Drosophila melanogaster: one gene and its partners. The protein of the gene in region 1 interacts with the protein of each later gene in a pairwise test. Each region holds a gene or a part of one and is shown in the gene's direction. Other genes may lie near its edges.

The links.
Region 2: the proteins of CG15219 (region 1) and CG15631 interact in a two-hybrid assay, tested with the Drosophila melanogaster proteins (one large-scale study listed by BioGRID).
Region 3: the proteins of CG15219 (region 1) and S6KL interact in a two-hybrid assay, tested with the Drosophila melanogaster proteins (one large-scale study listed by BioGRID).

What each region holds. Positions count from the first base shown.
Region 1 is NT_033779.5:22,104,388-22,107,175, reverse strand, and holds CG15219 (uncharacterized protein), read left to right. Parts: upstream 1-1,663; 5' UTR 1,664-1,774; coding exon 1,775-1,825; intron 1,826-1,878; coding exon 1,879-2,060; intron 2,061-2,108; coding exon of another isoform or gene 2,109-2,124; coding exon 2,125-2,251; 3' UTR 2,252-2,285; downstream 2,286-2,788. Other genes in the region: CG10834 (uncharacterized protein), read left to right, coding at 1-225.
Region 2 is NT_033779.5:4,731,826-4,736,204, reverse strand, and holds CG15631 (uncharacterized protein), read left to right. Parts: upstream 1-1,746; 5' UTR 1,747-1,778; coding exon 1,779-1,899; intron 1,900-1,950; coding exon 1,951-3,698; 3' UTR 3,699-3,792; downstream 3,793-4,379. Other genes in the region: fipi (factor of interpulse interval), read left to right, coding at 1-356, 438-658.
Region 3 is NC_004354.4:18,786,915-18,791,604, forward strand, and holds the start of S6KL (S6 kinase like), read left to right. Parts: upstream 1-1,549; 5' UTR 1,550-1,917; coding exon 1,918-2,175; intron 2,176-3,247; exon of another isoform or gene 3,248-3,395; intron 3,396-3,591; coding exon 3,592-3,701; intron 3,702-3,762; coding exon 3,763-3,979; intron 3,980-4,043; coding exon 4,044-4,167; intron 4,168-4,231; coding exon 4,232-4,330; intron 4,331-4,386; coding exon 4,387-4,545; intron 4,546-4,690. Other genes in the region: CG6961 (uncharacterized protein), read right to left, coding at 1-426, 484-1,004, 1,067-1,146.

The sequences.
Region 1 (2,788 bases):
TTGGACCCGTTCGCTATACCAATCAAGACCACCATGGAGTACACCTTGACCGTGCATTACGCGGCCTTGATCAGCACCTTAACTTATAAGGCGGCCAAAATGATTACCAATTTGGATGCCAGCAATGAGCTGGTGACAATACGTCTGCGCACCAAGGTTCACGAGGTGATTGTGCTGCCCTCCGAGAACTACATCATTATTGTAGTGCAAAATCCAGGCACCTAAATCATTGTATTAAGCCATGTAATATTCTTTTTCGCTGAATGTATTTGCCCTTATATAGTTTTAATTAAAGTTGAGAAAGCGTCTGGTCCAATTGCGCATCTTTGGTGATGTAAAATATACGACTTGGCCCTCCCCGGCTTGGCGTTAATTGCTCTAGATAAATACGCGGCGCGTCGCTATAATTACGACAGACCGATTACGAGCCGCACTTAATTGTCCGCCGTAAAGTGTTTGCCGGTATCTCTAATCCGGCCAAAGAAGATCTCACTCCCGCTGGCTTAAAAACGGTATCCAGCTCGATTTTAATTATTCGGCGACGTTCTCACTCTGTGCCGTTTGCATATTCATTGCTTTTTCCTAGGGAGGGAAGGCCATATTGTCCGGACTTGCATTGCTTTGATTACCATTATGGCGATTTTACAGACTTTATCCGTGTCCTTACCCCGCAGGAACTTTGGCTGCAATGGTCTAGATAAGGTATCCGGATCGCTTATAAAAAATGGCCAGAAAGAGCCAAAAGATTACAACAAACCTGTAATGTTCACAACTTTGAAAAGTGCATTCACTCTGTATCTTACTATTGGCCTTACATTTCTAGCAATATGCCAAAAAATGTTTATATAATAATATTTTCTATTTTGTTATTTTCTTTGAAATTTTCCATTGATATGCGATATAGCAGACATCAGACATCAGACGGTGCCATGGGTGATTGCAATTATACAATATAACCGAACGTCATATTAACGTATTTCATTACCAAATTAAAAGATATCAAGACTAACGGACTAACTTATATTTTTATTTGATGAAACTATAAATAAAACAAGAGAGACAGCTATAATCGAAATACATAAAAATATATTATCCAAAAATGTAAAAGCTCCAAGAGTTGGAGAACACAAATGAACACATTATTAACAATACAAGTTACAGCCAGACTAAAGACACTTTTGCTAAAGCATTCTCTCTTGTTCATATCTTAGAACTGAGGAAGTTTAAAAGTGAATAGAAAAGTATCCAAACATTTTTCAAAATTTTGGCCGTAATAGCATGAACGTGGCCCAAATCTTTTTGACATATCCATAGGAAAAGCAAAACAAATAATAAAATAAGTAACTAAAGCAATATTGCATAGCATAGGCTTTATCAGAATCTGCATTCTTAATCCATAAGTTGCATAGTCTTTGAGATCTCGACATTCATACAGACGGACATGCCTAGATTAACTCGGCTATTGATCCTATTCCAGAATATATTGTATATACTTTTTAGGGTAAGTAATATGTGTGTGGAAATATACGACTTTACTTTTACAAATAAAAAAAAAAATGTAAATTTTAATAATTTAAATTTTATTCCTTTTTTTCATCACACTATCTATGATAGAAGTGACATTTGATTTTGTACACCTCCCAGGCATTTTGTCAGTTTTTTCCAGTTTCATTTCAGGTTTCGGACTGTAAACATCTCTAAAAAACAAAAAAAAAAAAAATTGTAAAAATTTTATAAGAAAGTCAAGTAAAATCTTTTTTCAAAATTTTCAGTCATGGAATACGGAAATGGTATGCAATACGATGGTTATAGCCAAGGTGGCGAGGTAAGTATACAGCAAGAGTTTTTGTTGTGCCCAAACAATCTTTGCTTTTAAAGGGCTTTGAAATGCTGTACAACCAAACGAGCAGTGGCCATGGATATAGCCAGCAGCAGAGTAATTGCGGACAAGGTTCTTCAAATTTTAATGGTGCATCTGCATCGCTTGGTGGTCCTGGCTATCGCAGTCCCTTGCGATACACAAAAATGCTTCGTGAGATGAACTCTCGCAACGGGCTTTAGTATGTATATATACAATATATTCCTCGAATTCGTGTAGCTCTTTTTAGCTCTCCAATGGAACAGCAGCGGAGCAGTGGGCAAGGCGACTACTATAATACATTGCCCGGCCTTGGCGGCCCAGAAGGTCAAGCTTATCAGTCGCGGGGCAATGGAAATCCATACTACTAAAGTAAACCCATGCACTTCGTAGAAATTGTTGATATAATTTAATAAAATAAATTTTGAAATGTGTATGCCTTATTATTCCAGTTTTGGGCGGATAGAAATTTACAAGACAAAGAAAATTTTGAAAAATTGTGGTCGTGGTAGTTTTATATTTATATATAATATAACTTATATTTTATTTTATTTTATATTTTTTTTTATATTTAAAAAAATATCAACACCTTTTTCAAAAGTGGGAAAGGGAAATATATACACGTTAGAAAAATATGTATATTTTAAAAAATGTGCATGTTAATATTCACCAGAATGTCTTTGACATTGCAATATTGAAAACCAATTAAAAAGATGCGTGGGAACACGCAGCCTCTGCAAGCTGCGTTCCTGAGATATGACTTTTATACGGTCAGACGGACATTTCTAGATCGACTCGGCTAGAGATCCAGATCGAGAATATATGGTCGGAAACGCCTTCTGCCTGTTACATACTGTTCAACGAATATATATATTAATATATATATATATTAATATACGAGTAACATTTTATTCCGAACAAAGTATGCTC
Region 2 (4,379 bases), about 17 Mb from region 1:
CAGCAACAACAGACTGTACACGATCCAGTCGGACAGCTACTGGTCGAGTCTGACCATCCATGTGCTGAACACCAGCGCCTTCGATAACTACAGGTGTCGCGCCAGGAACGATCTGGGCACCATCGAGAGGACCACGCGACTGGAGCAGGGCGAGAAGCCTCCGTCACCGGCCAACTTCCAGCTGCGTGGCTTCAATTCAAACACCTTCGATGTGGTACTGAGTGCTCCACGAGGTCCTCCCGACAGTCCCATGGGGGTCAATGGATTCCGCATCGAGTACATGACCGAAATGGAGTTCAAGACGGATGCGGGCAAGTGGACCAATGCCAGGCGGAAGGATTATGCTTTCGAGGAGGGTGAGTTAAGCTTTAAAATATAGATAAAAGCTATCTCTTGCTACATTCGATATGTAAACTCATGGATTCTATAAATTTTAGGGGCTACCTTCCTTCTGACGAACTTAGAGCCAGATACCGTTTACCTGGTGCGGGCCGCATCACGGAATCTGGCCGGATTCAGTGACTTCACCAAGGTGGAGAAGTACAAGACACTTTCGCTGGAGCCCCGAGTCTCTTCGGGAGTCAAGGAGACCAGAAATATGTGCGTGGAACTGGGTGTGATGACACTAATGGTCCTGATGCGGCCGTTCCTGGGATGAATCTGAATCTGCAGGCGGATGAAGGATGACAGGTGATGCACCTAGCGGAACCGGAAACCAGGACCTTAAACCCCATGTGCTTTGTATAGCTATAAGGCGTGTCCACACGGCGACACTTTTCTGTCTGATTTGCTCGGTCTAAGTAATTTGGTTTACTCTTAAGTTCAGTGCGTTAATGTAACCTTAAAGAATGTTAAGTTTAGTAAGAATTTCTATTACGCTTTCAGTGCTTCGATTTGAATGATATTAGTGGATCACTTATAGGATATTTATATGTATTTAAACAAATCCTCATAGCAGTTAGACATAATCAATGGTTTGCTGGCCTTGGCTCCCCAAAATTATGCAAAACTAAAGCTTTGCTCAACATTCCAGTATATATTTTAACGTGAATTGGAAGTTTTCCCTGCAACTTTGCATCTCGTTGCCAAATCTTTAAGATATAATCAGACAGTTGCCAAAACTAAAAAAGTACATTAGTTTAGTATATACAAACAAATGCCTTCCGTCATTCGATATAACTAACAATCTTTTCAACTAAACTACATAAATATATAAAGTTTTGGAATACCATTAAACGCATCAAACAATTAATATAAATATCAAGGAGCTTAACGACAGCATTTAAAAGTTTTATATGTCACATAATTCTTTTTAATAGTCAAAGGCCAATAAAAACAATTCCACGTGTAAATTTCCAGGGCTAAAAAATACAGAATAAAATATAGATGTAAAAATAAGTTTAAACACTTTGCCACAATACAAATATTATGCAAACGAGAGAAAAACAAACACATATTTTACAAAAGTTATTTATATTCAATAAAATTAAATGTATTTCAGCTAAAGTGGTGTAAAATCTAAACCATAATACCTAGCCAAAGATTTAATATTTTCCAACTTTCGTTTGCCAATTGTGTGTGAGCCATAATAAAAGTTATGAATATCAAACCAGAACCGTTTGTGCTTCGATTTATTGATGTATAAATCAGTAAGTAAATAGAATATAAATATTTTAGTAAAAAAAATGCCTATTAGTTGGCGTAGCTTTTAGTGTTAATTTCTAATATTCGGCTCAAAAATTATATACAAAAAGTACAAAGCATAAAAATGTTGCAAGATGGAAAAACGAGCTCATTATTTTAGTCAGAACTCGAACCAGCCGCTAAATGCAGACTTTAATTTAGAAGATCAAATTATGAGGAATTCACAAAAAATATATAGGTTTAGCTCAGATCCGGGTGAGTAAAGCTTGCTAATAATGAATACATAAAATTAAAATTTTTATTTAGAATACAATAGAGTATATCAGCGGTATATGGCAACCCTCATCCGTGTGCAAAATTCCATGCATAGAAGATTTCAATCCAGGACCACTCTAAAATTGCAGGGCTCACATAGCCGCCTCTCAGCTGGCGGATTCTGTACGAAATTCAATAAATCCGGAAAGGAGAAAAAAAATAAACACAACCAAAGCCACGACCAGCAAAATGATACCTGTAAGCCTTCTTGCTCGAAGCCAACTGATTGCGCCACAAATGATGAACCTTCCTGCCGGGGCAATAAAAGTGCATCCGATAAAAGCCTGAAAATCACCCGCTGTTCCATACCGGAACCCAATAAGTCCCCACGCAGCGATGGACACGAGAACCAGCGTCAGAGCTGTGTGTCCTTTGAAGAGCCCGCGGCCAAGGATATTCCCACATTTGATCTGCACTTCCGGGACACCTCATGTACGGTGTCCCATGATTCCAGCCTGTCCTCCATCAACGTTTGCTATAGCCAAGAGCAACAGAGGGATATTACAAAATCTTGTCCCGCTCAAACGCCGAAAGAGCCAGCCCCTCAACGGATGAAGGAGTCGTCCAGGAATCAAACAGCTTCACGATTTTGCATGAGACCGTTGATTGTGGTGCCCACAGGTGGAGGAATTAAACAATTAAAGAAGGATCAATCTGAGAATTCCAAAATAGTTAGCACAGATCACTCCAAGTCGAAGTCTGCACACCACACGAATAGTTCTCGAAAATCCACAAAGAAGCAAGCAAAGAGTCACCGCCTTATTAAGTCTCACAGCTCTAAAGATTCTTTAGCAAATCGTGGTCAGCCTACAGTGGAAATTGAAGAAACTTTTCCAAATTCAATCTGCACTTCCGATACCCACGAATCCTGTGACTGCAAGAGCGAAGACCAATTTTGCTGTTACTATATACCAGAGGAGCCCCATTGCTCGCAGAATCCACCGCCATGTTCCAACTGCCCGGCTATATGCGACTTATCCAACCAATTGGAGGAGATGAATCGACGTTTGGAGGGCCTTCACAGCCAGGAACTCTGCGATATCCGCACGCAGGTGAATAGCCTCAATGCCAATGTTCAGCATTTGGCCAAAGAGTGCATTCAGAAAATGGATGGCGCCAAAAGGCTGGACAAGAAGACCTCGAGCACCTGTCAGTTCTGTCATGGGCAGTGTTTGAAAATACTTGATAGCTTCTATAGGCAACTGCTGGACTCACTTTGGGATCGTTCCCTGACAGACATAGTAATATCCATATTTCTGCGAGCAGACAATGTCTATCACGTAAATGTGCGGGATCTGAGCTCGGACTGTTCCCTTGGTTGTTACCTGGTCACTGATGCGGCCATAGAGGAGGCCATCGAGTTGGGAGTTTTTCAGAACATACTCACATTTAGTGTAATTGATGTGCGGAATACCATCAAGTCGAAGAACTGCGACTTGGGCATCGTCTTTGAATACCATCATTCAAAGCGGCAGACCGGTGGTTGCGATTCTCCACTTCGTGGCTCCTGCATGGTGGGCAAGGAATATATCGGCAGGGTTCTCGGACTTCCTTTGGAGCAGCTGAAATACCTGTACTCCGTTCCGCGATCCTATACCAAAATCACTGAGCACGACACTAGGAGTGTAACTGGAAGTCAGTTACACTCAGTTTCCACTCAAACGACTTTGATGGATATGCAGACAGAAATGAAGATAAGATATAAGAAAAGTGCCCGTACAAAACTACCATCAGTTTGAAAGATATCAGTTTTAATAATATATAGCAAAAGTTATAGTTAAGCCAACTTACAACGTATTTCTAAAATTTTGTAATAAAAGACCTTATAATTTTAAAAGCCAGCATAGATCAAAGGAAATTCTGATTAGTTTCAATAAAGCTAACCGTACAGGTTGCACTGCCATTTGCACAACCGACGGACCGCATGGCAAATGGTTCATTTGTTCAACGGGCGCGGTTTGTCAATCAGCCACATCAACTGGGGCTCAACTAAGGACCCGCATATGCGCTTTTGGCCGGAATGCCTTTTTGGGGGGGCTTTTTGGGGCAAGGAATAGGAGCACTGCGTTGACAGCCGCATAAATCAGTTGAATGCCAAACGTCGGATTCGGATGCAGATGCGGATGCTGTTGCGTATGCGGATATGCATTGCGACTGGGCGCCATATTGTGCGTGGTGACTTTTATTGCCCGACCGCGCGTTAAATATTTTTCTGTCTACACACATGGACATGGATGCTCCGCTCATCATTGACATTTACCATTGGCCATCGTCATTCGCATCACAATGAGCAGCAATGAGCGTGGCCGTTATTTGGGTGCGGTTCAAAACAATCAGCCCGGCTATTTAATTTCCAAATGAGAGGAGCATTATTCGGCACAGCATGAGTTCAAATCACTTGCCCCATGTGCCCGCCAGCT
Region 3 (4,690 bases), on another chromosome or scaffold:
CAGCTGCATCACCATCACTATCAGTACCGCTATCGCTATCACTACCACCACCGCCACCAACAGCCTTTCTCCGGTTCTCGTTGGCGTAGATGCCATGAGAAATGTGAGGATCTCTCTTACCGACAAACAGACGAGACCGCAGCGATTCTGGGAGTTTACTTGTGCTTACTGTGTCGCGGTGGCGGCGCTCGAGAGGCTCCTTGGTGCTATTTGAGCGTCCAACTACGAGTCGGTTGGTCAGCGAAGGACGCTCAATGCGATTGCGGGCCGCCTCGTAAATGGAGAATGCATTGTTATCTATTTTGTTATTTAGTGGGGCCATGGACATCTCCACGTCGTCGCCGCGGTTCAGGTCGAGCCCACCAATTGAGTAGCGTGGCGACGCTTGCTTCATTTGCCCTAAGTGCAGTGTGCGAGATATTTCCTCTGAAAGTAGAAGAGTGCTTTTTAGGAACGGCTTGGCAGAGAAAGGCACTAACTAACCATCCTCGAGGTCCTGCATATTATCAAGATCAATATAGCGTCGTGGAGCAAAGGGTTTGCCCGGCTTATGGGATCTGGGGTCAAAGGTTCGACGCAAGCCGGACAACATGTGGTTACCCAGTTCAACGACCCCGTCGTCCGAGTCCCATTTCGCCTGAATGGTGCCGTCCGCATGGTTTGACATGCTAAGGCGGTGACCAAACTGACCGATGTGCACTCCCTTTCCGCGTGCGCGATGTGATGGCTCAAACGACTCTTCTTCGTCATCAATAAGTATTGGGCCCGCCGAACGGGCCTTCTTTCGCTCCAGCAACAGTTGGCGGGCATCGATGCCCGAGTCGCGCACGCTCTTGTTGATCAGATCCCGAGCATCGGCTATCTTGGCCCGTGTCTTCGCGGCAATCGTGTTTCTGGCATCGAAGGTGCGCTTTGCCGGCATATCAGAGTGAGATCCTCGTGCACCCGATGGCTTGAAAAAAGGCTTGTTCAGCAGCTGGCGCGGCTTGGAGAAGTTCGCATTGCTGCAATGGAAAACGCATTGAGTGACATTATATTTTTTCGGCTGTCCTGTAAATGTACTTACAACTTTCTGTCGAGGGGACGATAGCCGCGTTGCCCGCGCTTCCGCTCTATAATCTCGTCCAGACTCAAATCGATGTCCATGGCTCGCAGTATACGCTTTTCACACCCTTTCCTAAGCTATGTTTGAAGTAAAAACAACCAGATTCAAATTATCCTGACTATTCGAGCTACGTTCGTAAAAAAAATAGGACTGGCGTTTCACTGGTGACACTTGGGGTCGCCAACTATCGCCCGGCATTATCGATAGCAACTATCGCTTATTAACATTTTCGTGATGCTGGAAATAAAATGTAAAATAGAAACAGCAATATACTAACACTAATACAAATATACAAATAATACTATTAACTATTTGTTCATTCACAAAAACAGTTTTTGCATGTCTTAACATTAGTTTGTAGAAGATTGAAAATTCTCAGAACTGACAATGGTAGCTTAGAATACATAATACGTTTTATCCACTGACATTACGCGCCACTAATTCACAGTGTGCCCCTTCGCACAGCCGAGAACAATCGCGCTTAGGTGCTAGCCGACGTCTGGTCTGGTCACACTGCTACCTGCACAACAACAACAACAACAACACACTGAAAAACAGCAAAATAGAGCCAGCCTTAGCTACCAAATATTTATATTAGAATTTCAGCTACCCCAACTGCGAGTGCGCGCTTTTTACTGCGATTTTTTGGCTGCCCCTCACGCGCACGCACACGAACAGTGATTGCGCAATTCCAGTGGAACGAGTGGAGTGTGGTGGTGTGCGGTGTGTGTGTGTAAACAACAAGCGGACGACAAGGAAACAGAAACCGAAACAGAAACAACGGGAATTGATTGGGACGAGTGGAGCTTTTGATGGGCAACTCGCAACCGCGTAATGCAAGCAGAAGCAGAAGGACATCCCAGTGGCCACAAGGCGCAGCGGAACTAGGCGCCTCAGCCAGCGATCACCACTACCACCAGGAGGAGCTGTATCAGGAGCAGCAGCAGCAGCAACAACAGCCGCAACAGGAGCAACCGAGCAGCAGGAGAATCCAGTTCCAGGCCCACACCAACCAGCCAACACAGTCGCATCCTCCGGGCGACGAGGAACAGCCTGTACAATCACAGCAGGTAATGAGTAAGAAAAGTCGCAAGTGGGTGGTGGGTGGACGTTGTAGTATATGTGTAGGACAGGCTGATAAGGCAACCCATATATGCGCGTATAAACATACATTCGTACTTATGCACATATGTATGTACACTTTGTTGGCCATGTTTTCCCTCGTCAGCGCGAATAAATACTGCGTCATTAATGACATTAATGGGTGCTGGGTTCGCGTTTTCCCCCTTTCAATTACGTTGCGGCTTTTGACCCCTGACCCCCCACGAAACCCACTCTTCCTCGCGCCGCCCCACAGGCAGCACGTGTGTGGGCGCTCTTTTCCGCACTTTTCAAATGCCCCAAGTATTTCCGCATTCGCATACGACTTTCATGGCCATGCCAATTGAGCCTCCCGCTGCGCAAATTCTGGCTCCCCCTTATCAAATCCACCCGTCCACGTGCTCCCCCCTCTGTTTTCACTTTATGAATCTGGGGATCGCACAGCCCACGCGTAGATCCAGATCCACAGATCTGTACATTATGCTCCATACGCGTGTGTGTAGCCATACGGAATGGAATGGTGACCCTCAAGCAAAGAAACTCTGGCCACAGACGCGGGCTAGCATATGGGAACGACTTGTGGAAAAGCGTTTAGAAAATGAGATAAGACTTCGCATGCCGAAAACGTATTTAGTTCTCAGCAGTAGTTTATTAAAGATTTTTCACGTCAGCAATCTATATTAATAGATAAAAAAATTTTTGCACACAAAAAGCTCATAGCTCCATTATTTTTCAAAATATGGTTTAAATCAACACTTTTGGTTTGAAAGTTACCTAATAGCGAAACCAATTTAAATTCACTGTTTTACTCGGGTTTGCCTAAAAATGGCCTTATTATTTAAACTAAAAATCAGCAATTTAATGAAAAAAAACTAACTTTTTACCAAGAATGTGTCATAGTGATTGAGAACATTGAAAACATATGATCACTCTCGGTGGACACCACTGTATAGTCGATTTGCTCTCTCGCTCTCTTCTGCGTTCCGTTCCCAGCTGTTCGATCATCGGTGGCGTTGTTTGTTTGCAAATATTCAGAGGCCCATAACGCACGTGTCGTCGCCAAGGGAACATCGCAAAACCGTCTCCTACGCCTCCGTAGAAATTCATAGATTGCTAGAAAGTGTTCTGGGAATTCATTAGCTTATTTTTCCGGTGGAAAGGGCTGGGATAAGCGTTGAAAACAACGCAGGTAAGCCGTAATAAATCCGCTGAGCCCGTTTCAGGCCGTTTTGTTGGCTTCAGCACTGGTCATTCAGTATACAGGCAGTCCGCCGCGTGTTCAATATAAAATTAACTTACATATGTACATATACATGGGATAGATAGCAGTGAAGGGCGAGAATTGTGTACTGAACACCAAAACCTAATGGTCTGTCTTGTTTCAGCAACAGCTTTCCACCTGGAGTCTTGGCAGCCTTAGCGGAGGACGACTCAACTGGAGCTTCTCCGGTGCCCGCAACTCATTTCGTCATCGAAACAAGGCCACGCGAAAGAGGTAGAATCGCATTGATCGCCCCTTAAGTTTCCGTAAATAATATGCCAACTCTTGCTTGCAGCTTGACCTCACTTCATGGCTCTCGTCGTGGCAAGACTCAGTGGCACCGACCTCTGACCAACTCAATCTTCAACTCGCACTTTAAGGAGACCAGCAAGAACGATCTGTACCGTATCGATCATTTGGTGGCCAAGGGAGCCTTTGGCGTGGTCTTCAAGGTGTCCAGCAAGAGTGACATTAGTCAGTGCTACGCCCTGAAAGTGCTAAAGAAATCAAAGGTTGTTAAGCATTCGGTTCGGATACTGGCAGAGATAAAATAACTCCCCTACTTTTTTTATACAGCTCATCGAAGACAACAGTGTACGGCAGATAAAGGACGAGGCGGACATTCAGAAGGTTTGCGGCCATCATCCGTTTATCGTGAAGCAAATAGATCTGTGGCAAAACCGCCACAACCTCCATATTCGTGCGTTGAGATAAAACTATACTAACGATTTTATGTGTATACTAAATACTCTAATCCACTGCAGTATCGGAGTACGTACCCAACGGCGAGTTGTTCTCAAAAATAACTCACTTCTCCATTGATCTGGTTCGTTTATACATTGGCGAGATAGCACTTGCCTTGGGTGAGTAAAAGAGGTCTTAGGCCAGCAAACCAATATCTCACGTACGCTCTTTTTAGATTTTCTCCACAACGCTGGGATTATATATCGTGATGCGAAGCCGGAGAACATCCTGCTAACTGAACAGTTTCACATAAAGCTAACCGACTTCGGCCTTAGCAAGTGGCTCAAACTGGGGGCAAACACGCGCACCATGTGTGGCACTTTCAAATACATGGGTACGATCTAATCCAACTTAAACATACAAACACTTAAGAAATAGATTTAGCTGTTAAGAGGCGTGCCGATCCATCGCAATCCAAATCGTTCAAAGGTATTTTCGAAAAGAAAGCCCATCAAAGTAACTTAGAAGAAAAAGGGAAC